Linked DNA regions of Caenorhabditis elegans. The protein of the gene in region 1 purifies or fractionates together with the protein of each later gene. This does not show direct contact. Each region holds a gene or a part of one and is shown on either strand. Other genes may lie near its edges.

The links.
Region 2: the proteins of ppat-1 (region 1) and atic-1 fractionate together in Caenorhabditis elegans (co-fractionation; one large-scale study listed by BioGRID). This does not show direct contact.

The regions. Positions count from the first base shown.
Region 1 is NC_003281.10:4,687,540-4,692,984, reverse strand, and holds ppat-1 (Amidophosphoribosyltransferase), read right to left. Parts: upstream 3,706-5,445; 5' UTR 3,641-3,705; coding exon 3,552-3,640; intron 3,352-3,551; exon of another isoform or gene 3,214-3,351; intron 2,928-3,213; coding exon 2,522-2,927; intron 2,476-2,521; coding exon 2,215-2,475; intron 1,980-2,214; coding exon 1,670-1,979; intron 1,622-1,669; coding exon 1,506-1,621; intron 1,211-1,505; coding exon 1,046-1,210; intron 1,002-1,045; coding exon 906-1,001; 3' UTR 814-905; downstream 1-813. Other genes in the region: nifk-1 (RRM domain-containing protein), read left to right, coding at 1-58, 107-622, 667-756; tag-243 (Costars domain-containing protein), read left to right, coding at 4,775-4,804.
Region 2 is NC_003282.8:7,880,148-7,885,154, reverse strand, and holds the start of atic-1 (Bifunctional purine biosynthesis protein ATIC), read right to left. Parts: upstream 3,128-5,007; 5' UTR 3,089-3,127; coding exon 3,067-3,088; intron 2,797-3,066; coding exon 2,549-2,796; intron 1,319-2,548; coding exon 1,207-1,318; intron 1-1,206. Other genes in the region: srt-73 (Serpentine Receptor, class T), read right to left, coding at 4,121-4,235, 4,287-4,483, 4,785-4,895, 4,986-5,007.

The DNA.
Region 1 (5,445 bases):
AATCGCTGCCGAATCAATGAACGGTTACTTGATGTTCGAGCAACGTCTCGGGTGCACGGTAGGTCAACTTCTACCATTATATCCTTGAAAAACTTATTAAATTTAGGTGATGAAACCAGAACTTATCCCGAAGGCAATGCGCCATGGCCCACTGCTTGTGATGCGTCCATCTTACTTGGGCATCGCTAAAAAAGATACAATTGCCAGAAACAATACCACCGGAAAAAATGACGTCATCAATGCCAAGAAACGCGTGCAAAATCTCAACAAAACTTTGAAGAAGCTGCAGAATATGGGGATCAACTATGATTTCTCTGTGTCTGGAACACCAAGAACGCCACTTAAGAAGGTCATTGACAATGAGGTTCAATTTATCAGTGATGTCACCCCGAAAAGCACGACTCCGAAAATTGTGAAAGCTGCAACTCCAAAAGCAGCTACTCCAAAGGCCGTGACTCCAAAACAAGCAACTCCGAAAGTTTCCACTCCAGTCACCAAAAAGGTTGTCATCAAGACTCCTAAAACTGAAAAGCCGGAACCCAAACAGTTCACTCCAAAAACTCGCGCAGGAAAGAAGGCAGCTGCTGCTGCTACTCCACAGGCTAAATCTACGCTATCCAACGTACGAAAAACTTTAAATAAAATTTGGTTATATTAATTTTCCAGACAATCCTCAAATCCGTCGCTGCAAGTGCCCGTCCAGCTGCTGTCGAAAAGAAAACATTGAGATCTCGTGGAAAGAAGAAGAGCTTGTAAGCGTCCTGATTTCTGTTGTTAATCATTTTATTTTTTTTCCGCAAACTGTTGTTGTTCTTATTTTTATACACATTCATTGTTGATTTTTAATTGAATTGATTTTGTTTTTCATGAATACAAATAATCTATTCAAACTTTTCAAACACTAATTATAAATCGATAGCAACTGGATATTTTCCAGTGAGACATGCGGTGCAATGTCCTGGAGAGAAGTTGGCAGCTCGTTCGATTCCTTTTTGAACAGACTGAAAAAAAATTAAATTGAGGAGAAAGTGAGGTTCAAACTCACCGAAACTAAACCGTCAACCGAAAGATACCGTACTGAATCGGCTCCAACAAATTGGCAGATTTCTGGAATTGTTTTTTCGGCAGCAATCAATTCCTTTGTGGTTGGAATGTTGATTCCCATAAAACATGGGAATTTTACAGGCGGGGAAGCAATTCGTAGATGAACCTTTAAATTTAGAGGTATTATTTGAATAATGCGGTCTTGACACGATCGAAATTTCTAAGATACCGTACTCTACCGTATACTCCAGTTTCTCGTTTTTATGTATTCCGCTATTGTTTTCTTAATATTTGCTGAACATCTAGATGCACAGTTTTACAACAAATATATGTATTGGAAAAATCTGCAAAAACGGAGAATTACTCGCGTTATACGGTAGCTGAAAATTTTTGCTCGTGTCAAGACCTTTTTCACGGTTTATAAGGTGAAAAATCATTATTTTTAACAACAAGGGTAATACCTCTTTTGCTCCAGCATCTCTTAACATTTTTACCAAAGTTCTCATCGTATTTCCACGTACAATTGAATCATCTACTAACACAATCCTTTGTCCATGAATCTTTTTCTTCAATACTCCTGAAATAGAATTCATGAAGTCTTTCTAAATAGTTTTCTTTATTTTACCAAATTTCATTTTAATCGCATTTTGTCTCATCTCATCATTTGGTTCTATAAATGATCTTCCAACATATGAATTTCTGTGTAAAACAGGTTCATATGTGATTCCAGACTGAGAAGCGTATCCAATTGCTGCACTCAGCGAAGAATCTGGAACATTTCCAACAATATCTGCTTCTAGATCATCTTCAAGAGCCATCGTTTTTCCACATTCTTCACGAACAGTTTGTACTTGTTGTCCTTCAATTTCTGAATCATTTCGTGCAAAATAGACATATTCGAATATGCACATAGCCAGAGGAGTATTCGGTTTCATCTGAAATGACTCATATAATTCCAGGTTTCTGATTTTTCAGCATAGCCCATCTGTCTCGATTGTAATTTTGGAAAATACCAAAAATAACCAGAAAGTCTAAAAACTACATGTATTTGCAAAACTTTAAAAACACTTTTTTAAATTTTAATGTCTAACAAAATACATACATGAGAAAATGAGGTCAGAGAAGGCGGTAGGTAGGCGCGTAGGCAGGCCAAGATATATGTAAGTTTACCTGCCACACCGACTTGATTCCTCCTGTCGATAATTCCACAATTTCTCCTGGTCTCACTTCGAAATCTAATTTAGCATTTGCAGGAAATGCACAAGATTCAGAAGATGCAATGAATGCTTCTGGATTTCCATTTTTAGAATATACAGTACCAACACAAAGTGGACGATTTCCAAATGGATCACGAATTGCGTATAGTCTATCAAATGTCATTACTAGTAGAGAATATGACATGTTTAGTGCAGACATTGTTACTGCGAGCTCCTGAAGTTTTTTGGTTTAAGAATTTTCATGTTTTTCAAAAACTCACTCTTGTAATATCACCCATCTCTTGTCCATACTTGCATTTTACATTCAGAGCAATCGCTTTTGCAATCATTTGAGCAATAAGCTCTGAGTCAGTGTCAGTTGATAAACCAACACCTTCATGAAGTACTTCCTTTCTTTTTTGTTTCGCATCAACCAATTCTCCATTATGAGCAATTGCTACAGTACCCATTGCAGTATATACCACAAATGGTTGTACACAATTGATTCCAGACTTCTTCTTTCCTGCAGTTGAATACCTATTATGACCAATTATTATCGATTGCCCATTCATTCTTGAGATATTATCTTCAGTAATCACATCTCGGACAAGTCCATGACCTTTGATAATTTCCACGTGGTCTCGAGTGATTCCATCTGAACCAACGAGTCCTGTTGATTCAGTTCCTCTGCAAAATATACATGATAAGAATTGCAAATTTGCAACTAATTTGTTTTAGTATTTTATTTTTCTATCACGCACGGAAAACAATTTAGAAACTAGACAATATTTGCAAGAAATGCTAGACTTATTCATTTAGCTATTTCGATTTTTTGCAAACTCAAAATCACTGCACAATCTACTTGTTTGCAACAATGTCAACCACTGCAACGCTACAAGCACTTTATTGGTCGTGTGTCCGAGTGGTTAGCGCTGTTTGCTGTGACCCACGAGACGCCAGTTCAATCTCTACATACGCGTCATTTTCATCCAATTGGCAACGTGATTCTAATGTTGGCGATTCAGCGTATTTCTGACGCAAAATTGATAACTTCTCCATTGACGTCTAGTCAGACTAAACTGGCTCGGATACAATTAGGGAGTTTACACTTTTGCCTTCTTGTGGAACGATGGCTTAAGTTAAGCAGAAGCGGAATGAACGGGAAGAGAAAACGAGAGCTTTTTGAAAAATTAGATATTTAGGAATGAGGAGCTGAACAGTTAAAAATTCAAACTGAAACCAATGTAGGAGATGTATGAAATCAAACTTTTTGAGACAGAGCTTATTAAAAATTTAAACTTAAAACCCCACCTGTGTTGAAGAGCAGCCAATCCATTTGCAGCAAGAACATTCAAATGCTCATAATTTCCAGCGGCAACAATCCCAAATATACCACACATTGTTCGGTGTGATCGTCGTCAGAAATCAATTGCCTAATGTGCATGTTATTATCTTTTTCGATGCTCTGAATGTTTGATACGCCAATCATAAAACCTTTACACCCTCCACCTGCTATGTTTTTAAAGTTATTGCCTATTTTTCATGGAAAAGTTCACTTCTGTCGATAGAGCCAGGTTTTTGAACTTTTTCCGCTGATAAGAACAAGTGAATGTCTAATTGAAGTTTGATTTTAAAAGGAGTTTTTAGGTTTAATTGAAAATAAACACGTTGCTCGGGAATACGATAACTATAAGATGTGAATGAAATAAAACTTAACCTGGCGCGAGAGCTAAAATCTTCGGCTTTCAGAATCTGTAATTTACTTTCGCAGCAGATGCATGGAAATCTGGAGAGTTTAATTTTAAAATGTAATACTGAATCTAATGAAATTCCTGTTTGAAAAAGGTTTGTGAGTATGTTATCAAACTTTTGCAACTTTCTGACAACATTTTTCTGTAAAATTTTTTTTTTTCTGCCAACTTCAATTTATTTGAGCAGATTTTTTTAGAGTGTCATGTTGTGTCTAGAAAGTAGATATTGTTGTCACTTGGACTCCGTAGAGCCCGTCCGTCCCAACTTTGCGGATGTATGTGCTTGGTCAGGTTCACCCACGTCAACAGTTATCAACTGTCAATATGGACTTCGAAAATATTCTTTACATACTTTCCTGTTAATATCTGAATTGGTAAAATGGTTTTCGTTCTTTGAAATTCCAACACAATTCAAAAATCAAAATATCCCTCTGTTTGTTATTGAACATTGACCACCCAGTTGTATTTACAAGTTGACATTAGGTTTTTGAATTTCAAAAAATTTCCGAACAACTTCGCTTTTCTCCATTTTACTTGAGCTCCCTGTCAAAAATAGCCTTTCTGTATGTGTGTGCATTGTTTTATATTTGAACAGCGAAATTGCACGTGAGACGAAGAGACGCAGACAGCAAAGATTGTCGCGAAAATGAGCGCCCACTTACTTTTTGGCTAAACTTATCAAAATTGCTCAAAAAATAAGGAGACAGTCAAGGATATATCTTTTGAAAGTTAAGCACACATATCTGAAATTTGTTTTACTGAAAAAAGAAGTTGCTCAAGAAAATGCCAAGTCAATCAGTGGAAGAACAAAATGTAAGTTTAATCCATTTTTATATTCGTTTAGATTTTTGTAAATTAGAAAATATTAAAGGTACATAGGTGAACTTGAAAATTATTTTTGAAGAAAGTTTTGAACGTTTATAAAAGTGACTCACAAAACTATTAAGTAGTTTTGAGTATTTGCTCAATTTTGTGGTGACTTATATGTCACATATTTAATCAAGATTCAACCACTCATATTAATGGGAAAAGTATTCTAGTTTAGAAGTAGTTTTTAAATTTTTTTTTAAATTCTATGCTTCCTTGCCGCAAAAATCTTTGCTATGGGTTTCATCAATAGTGGTTTCTTAAATTTTTCCGACGCTTGATTTCCCATTTGTTAGGTCTATACATTTTTCTTGAATTTTATTATAATTTCTCTAGCTCTGCTTTAAAAAAAAAGTAGTCCAAATCAGGCGGACAAGTTCACCCGACAGCCTTCCTCGCTGTTTTCAACCCGATATCTGCCTACTGGCCTACTGGTGTGCACATAGTTTCAGACTAGATGCGCGTAATAAATTTTTTAAGAACAAGTTCATTGAAATACAAACGTGCCTAACAAAGTCTGGGAGTCGTTCCAAAACTCATAAAAACTCATAGGTCGTATAAAATTCATTCATTTTTTTTTAGAAAAT
Region 2 (5,007 bases), on another chromosome or scaffold:
AAAAACAAATACAATGGGTACAATTGAACGAATATTTCCACTTTTTTGTACTTTGTGCTAAGATCATAAAATGTCTATAACCTTATCCTTTTTTTAATATTAAAAAAACCATTCGATTAGAAGTTATAATATGGAAATTTCAATGATACCAAAAACTAGAGCTCAAGCTTTACGAAATGATGCATTCGTAAGATTTGCTCCTTTAAATGTTTCTGAAAGAATTTTCTGAAGATGATCACAGATTATATGAACTTATTGAGAGGAAGTATAGAATGAAAGTGTAAACGAATTATTATTTTCTCAGTTTTTTGTTGGTTGTATTGTCTTTTTTTGTGAATTCTCCAGCTTCCGTGTTAATTGAATTTATATTTTGAGGAACTAAAAAAGACGAACAAGAAGAAAATATAATTGTTTTGGTGTCAGAAAGGATTTAGGAAGGGAGAAGAACAATACATACATGTTTTCACAGTGATAAGTAGAGAACGATTTTTCAGAACCTGAACGTGCCCAATTTCACGAAATTGATATTTCAATTAGCTCAAATAAAACTACTTGATCATAGTATTGTATGTGATAATATTGCCAATTATTAAATCATTCACTAATGCTAAAATGACGAATTACATAACATAGTAAAACTTATCAAAAATCTTGAATTTTTATTTTCATCCAAAAGTGACAATTTTCCCCCTATCATAATAATGGAAGGCGACCGAAATATTATTTTTTATACAAAAAATATATTTTGATAATGTTTAAATTATTTTCAATTGAACATTGTAAGTCTTTGAAAATGCAAGAATGGTCTATTTCATTGACGAACATCCGTTTTAACTTGATTGAATTATTAGCTTGAAGTAGAATTACACCCCTTAAAATTATATGCTATTCCAATGAACTATAATATTTGGTAACTTATTTAAAAACAGGATGAACACTTTAAATTTGAAAAAATTCAACTTTTTAATCTAGGCCGTATGTTTTGGTTATGAAGTTCTGCTAAAATGATTTTCTGATTTCAATTTAAGCTGTTCCTGTGAAAAAATGTTGATGTTTGGTTTAGGGTTAGAAGTCACGAAAGGAGCAAAATAAGTCAAGTGCATAAATTGAAATCAAAAGGAACAAGGGGAAAAAGAAAGATGGCAACATAAAACAAAGTCAATTTTCCGGATGAATAAACTCAAAAAAAGAAAGAAATAAACGAACCAATGTCAATGTTCTCAACAGCTTCTTCTACAGAGCAATCCTTGGATTGAACAGTTTTTTTGAATGGATACAAGTTGCAAACCACCACTGAGACGAATGAAATGTTGTGTTTCTGGAAGAAAGAAAATAACCAAAAAATACAAGGAAGGAAAAGAAGATGAAACAAATTCAATTGAAAATAGAAAGAGAAGGTAATTGAATAGACACGGGCGGTAGAAACTGACACGTAGGCTTGCTCTCGGTGCATCATAACAACACCCCAATCAGTTGTGTTCGTTGATTTTTACGCCAATTTTTATGGATGTTCCAAGTTTAATTTTACTCTATGGTTGATGACGAAAGTTGAAGGTTTACAGATTATCTCACAAAAATCTTATTTTCACTCTGAATTGATAAAATATTTCTAAAAATACACAATAGAATTTCAAATAATATAATGTTCCTGGAGTATTATTTTTTGATTATCTCAGAGATTCAATGTTTATCCTGAAATGCAATATGACTGTAATACAATTTTCCGGCAAACAAAGTTTTTTGACTAATATTTTGCCGTTCTCCGTTCAACTGAACGCTAACTTTATGAAATTTTTTTTCGGTTTCTAATTAATAATTTAATTTTAAAGGTGACATATCTCAACTTTGTCTCAAAGTGTTCTAGCCATCAGGGCTGGCACTTTAATCCCAACAAGAGGCAAGACATAGGTTGCGAAATGCGCAAGTAACAAAAAATTGATTCAAAAAAATCCGAAAAAACTCTCTAACCCGTTTTCCAAAAAATTGTAATCCAACTTCAAAAAATTAACAAACAATTGTCAAAGTTTCAGATTAGACTAACTTTTTTTTTAAACAAAAGCGAGATATAATGTTTATTTAAAAAAAAATTATATAATTCGAAATAAGAATTGAAATTTGAATGAAGTCGTGACGACAAAATGAAGAAAAAGAGGACGAAAAATTGTCTTCTAATCTTCTTTTTGTCTCCTTCTCAACTCTTTATTTTCACGAGATAAGCCTTCTTCATCTGACGAAAGGACCAACTTTTTGTCACCCGTTAGCCCTTCTTTTTTTGGTTTTTTTTCTTCACTTCATTCTATTCAATCATGAATTCGATTAAACTAAGTAATGGTGAAATCTTTCAAGCCAGTACAAAGTTCATTTTGTGAGATTCCCGGAAGTTCTACAAAATCCGATCTTTTGTCAGAATTGTTTTGCACAAATGTTGCAAATTTATTTATTTCCACTTAATATAATTTGCAAGTTTCAGTTGAAAACGGTTCGACAACAAACAAGTTAGTTTACAAATAAAAAAAATTCAAAAAAAAAAGAAAATAAGCTATCTCACCTCTAGATCCTTTCGATCACTTTCCGTATCTCTTGCCAAGATTCCTCCATGAACGGCAGGATGCAGAGTTTTAACTCTTCCACCAAGCATCTCAGGAAACTTTGTTACATCTGCCACATCATGAACATCAATTCCTTGATCTCTGATCGCTTTCGCTGTTCCACCGGACGCAATAAGTGTTAAGCCAGCAGATACAAGTCCATGAGCAAGAGGAATAAGTCCTGTCTTGTCAGAGACCGATATAATGGCTGAAAATTAAAAATGTTTAGCTTTATACTTGCAGTTTATTTTAGTTCATTATTGTAGTAGTTTTCATTTGTTAAATACACAAAAAAGGGTTTTCCAAATCAAGGAGCGAGGTGGGTGAGGTTAGAGGCGGGGAAGAGGTGCCCCCGTAACGCCTCGACCTGGTGGAATGTCTAGTTCAATAAATAATTTTAAAGAATAGAAATGAATTATATTTATTCCGGGATTGCTTGAAAAATTAATTTAAAAAAATTCAAAATGAAATTACTTACCAAGTGATTTTCCGTCGGTCATTTCACACAATTCGTCGATGTATTGTATCAAGTCGATAGTCTTGTAAAATTCAATTTCTAACATTTTGTTTAATATTTTTTATTCGAGACGTAAAAATCACACAAAATAAAAAATGAACAAGGAACCAAAAAACACTAAAAATAGAAACTTTTGAGATAATCACAGGAAAACGATGGATGAGGAGAGCATGAGTTTATGCATTTATAAGTATTATTTTGTGAACTTTGAAATCTTGAACATTTTTGGAAAAATACACTCAGAAATTGGCAACTTTTTCAATGAAAAATGTCTTTTAGACTGGTCAAATTGAACAGTGTTGCTCAATTTTTCAATTGATAAGATAAATTTGATAACGAGGCAAATATTATTGTGTTTTTATTGCTTGTAGATGAAAGAATTAATAATCGAAAAAAAATCAGAAGTAGAAAATAAAAAGAACTTTGAAATCGATTTTAAATATCGCAAATATTATATAACTTTGAAATCTGTGTTGGTGTTTCAAAAACCAATAAAAATCTAATGTTTCTCTGTTCTTATAATAAAATCAAAGCTTCGAATTGGAGATATACGTACATTAATTTTTTTTTCTCGATTTGCCAGAAAATCTTCAAAATTTCAAAAAAAAATTCAATCGGTAGTTTCCCTTGATAACAAAACACAAACATTTTTATTATGAAGTGATGGTGTCTCTGTTTTACGACGGTTTTTATTTGTTTCTGTGTGTTATCAGTTTATCAATGTTTTACTTTGACAAAAGCTTTTTTACTCTGTCCACCTATACTTGCAGAATATTCCTTAAAATTGAAAATATCGAGAGGATCTGTTTCCTCTCATTTCAGTTGTTAGCAGTAAATTAGGCTTCATGTAAAAAGATTTCTGTGTCTAGATTTCATGGACCTATAAATAAATGTTTGGAAATCGATGACAAGAAATAAATTGTTTTTATTTCTAGACATAATTATTTTTTCTAATGATATCTTTCTATTTCTTAAATTCTAAAAACTAAAAGTTATATTTTATTTGAAGACCTGACTACATTTTAGCTCCGGATTGTCGAACTGTTGATACGTGCGAAGCAACAAACATTGTACGTCCACTGACTTCTGTTTGTTTTCCAATTGATGCTAATACCAGGTTACGAATACGACTGCAACTTTTTTTAAAAATGTTTTCAGTCAACCAAAGTTCTAAAACTTACGGATTAATTAATACATAAAGCATTGAATTGATTGAATTCCAAATCATCCATACAACATGTCCAATGAACACTCCAATTGGTAATTCCCATGGAATTGGTAGATATTCCCATGTCAAATACCCAATAACATGAAATATAGAAACACATAATACTTGAATTGTCAATATTAATTCTTTCTTTGACAATAATGCTGCTTTCTGAAAATCAACAAATGTTGAAAAATAATGAAACATTAGCTCTTCTGAAGGGAAATGAAAAGTTTCAAAACATTCTTAATACAAATATCTGCCCTTTGTTTGCGACTACTGTGAAATTTTTTTCATATACCTAAAACGTTTTGAGATTTGACGAATTGAAAATTTAATTCGAAAATCATGGGGTAGCTGTAGATGATATTGTACTTGAAAGTTTTTTGCATGAAATACTGTAGAAACAGTTTTCGATAAGTTTTTTTCTTCAATTTTCTTTGAAACGAAATTATATGTATGTTTTACTCACAAAATAAATATAACTGAAGATAACCAAATGAGCAAATAATGAGAATACGACATCTATTAAAGATATATCAGCACTTACAGACCTTAATACAGCTGATAATGGATTTGAAGCCTGGAAATAAAATTGAAAAGTTGACTATCATTTGGCAATATGCGAAGCTTTCGCCAAACATAAAGTGGGACTTCTCACAGTTGTACTCACGGCATAGTGCCACGTGTAAGCA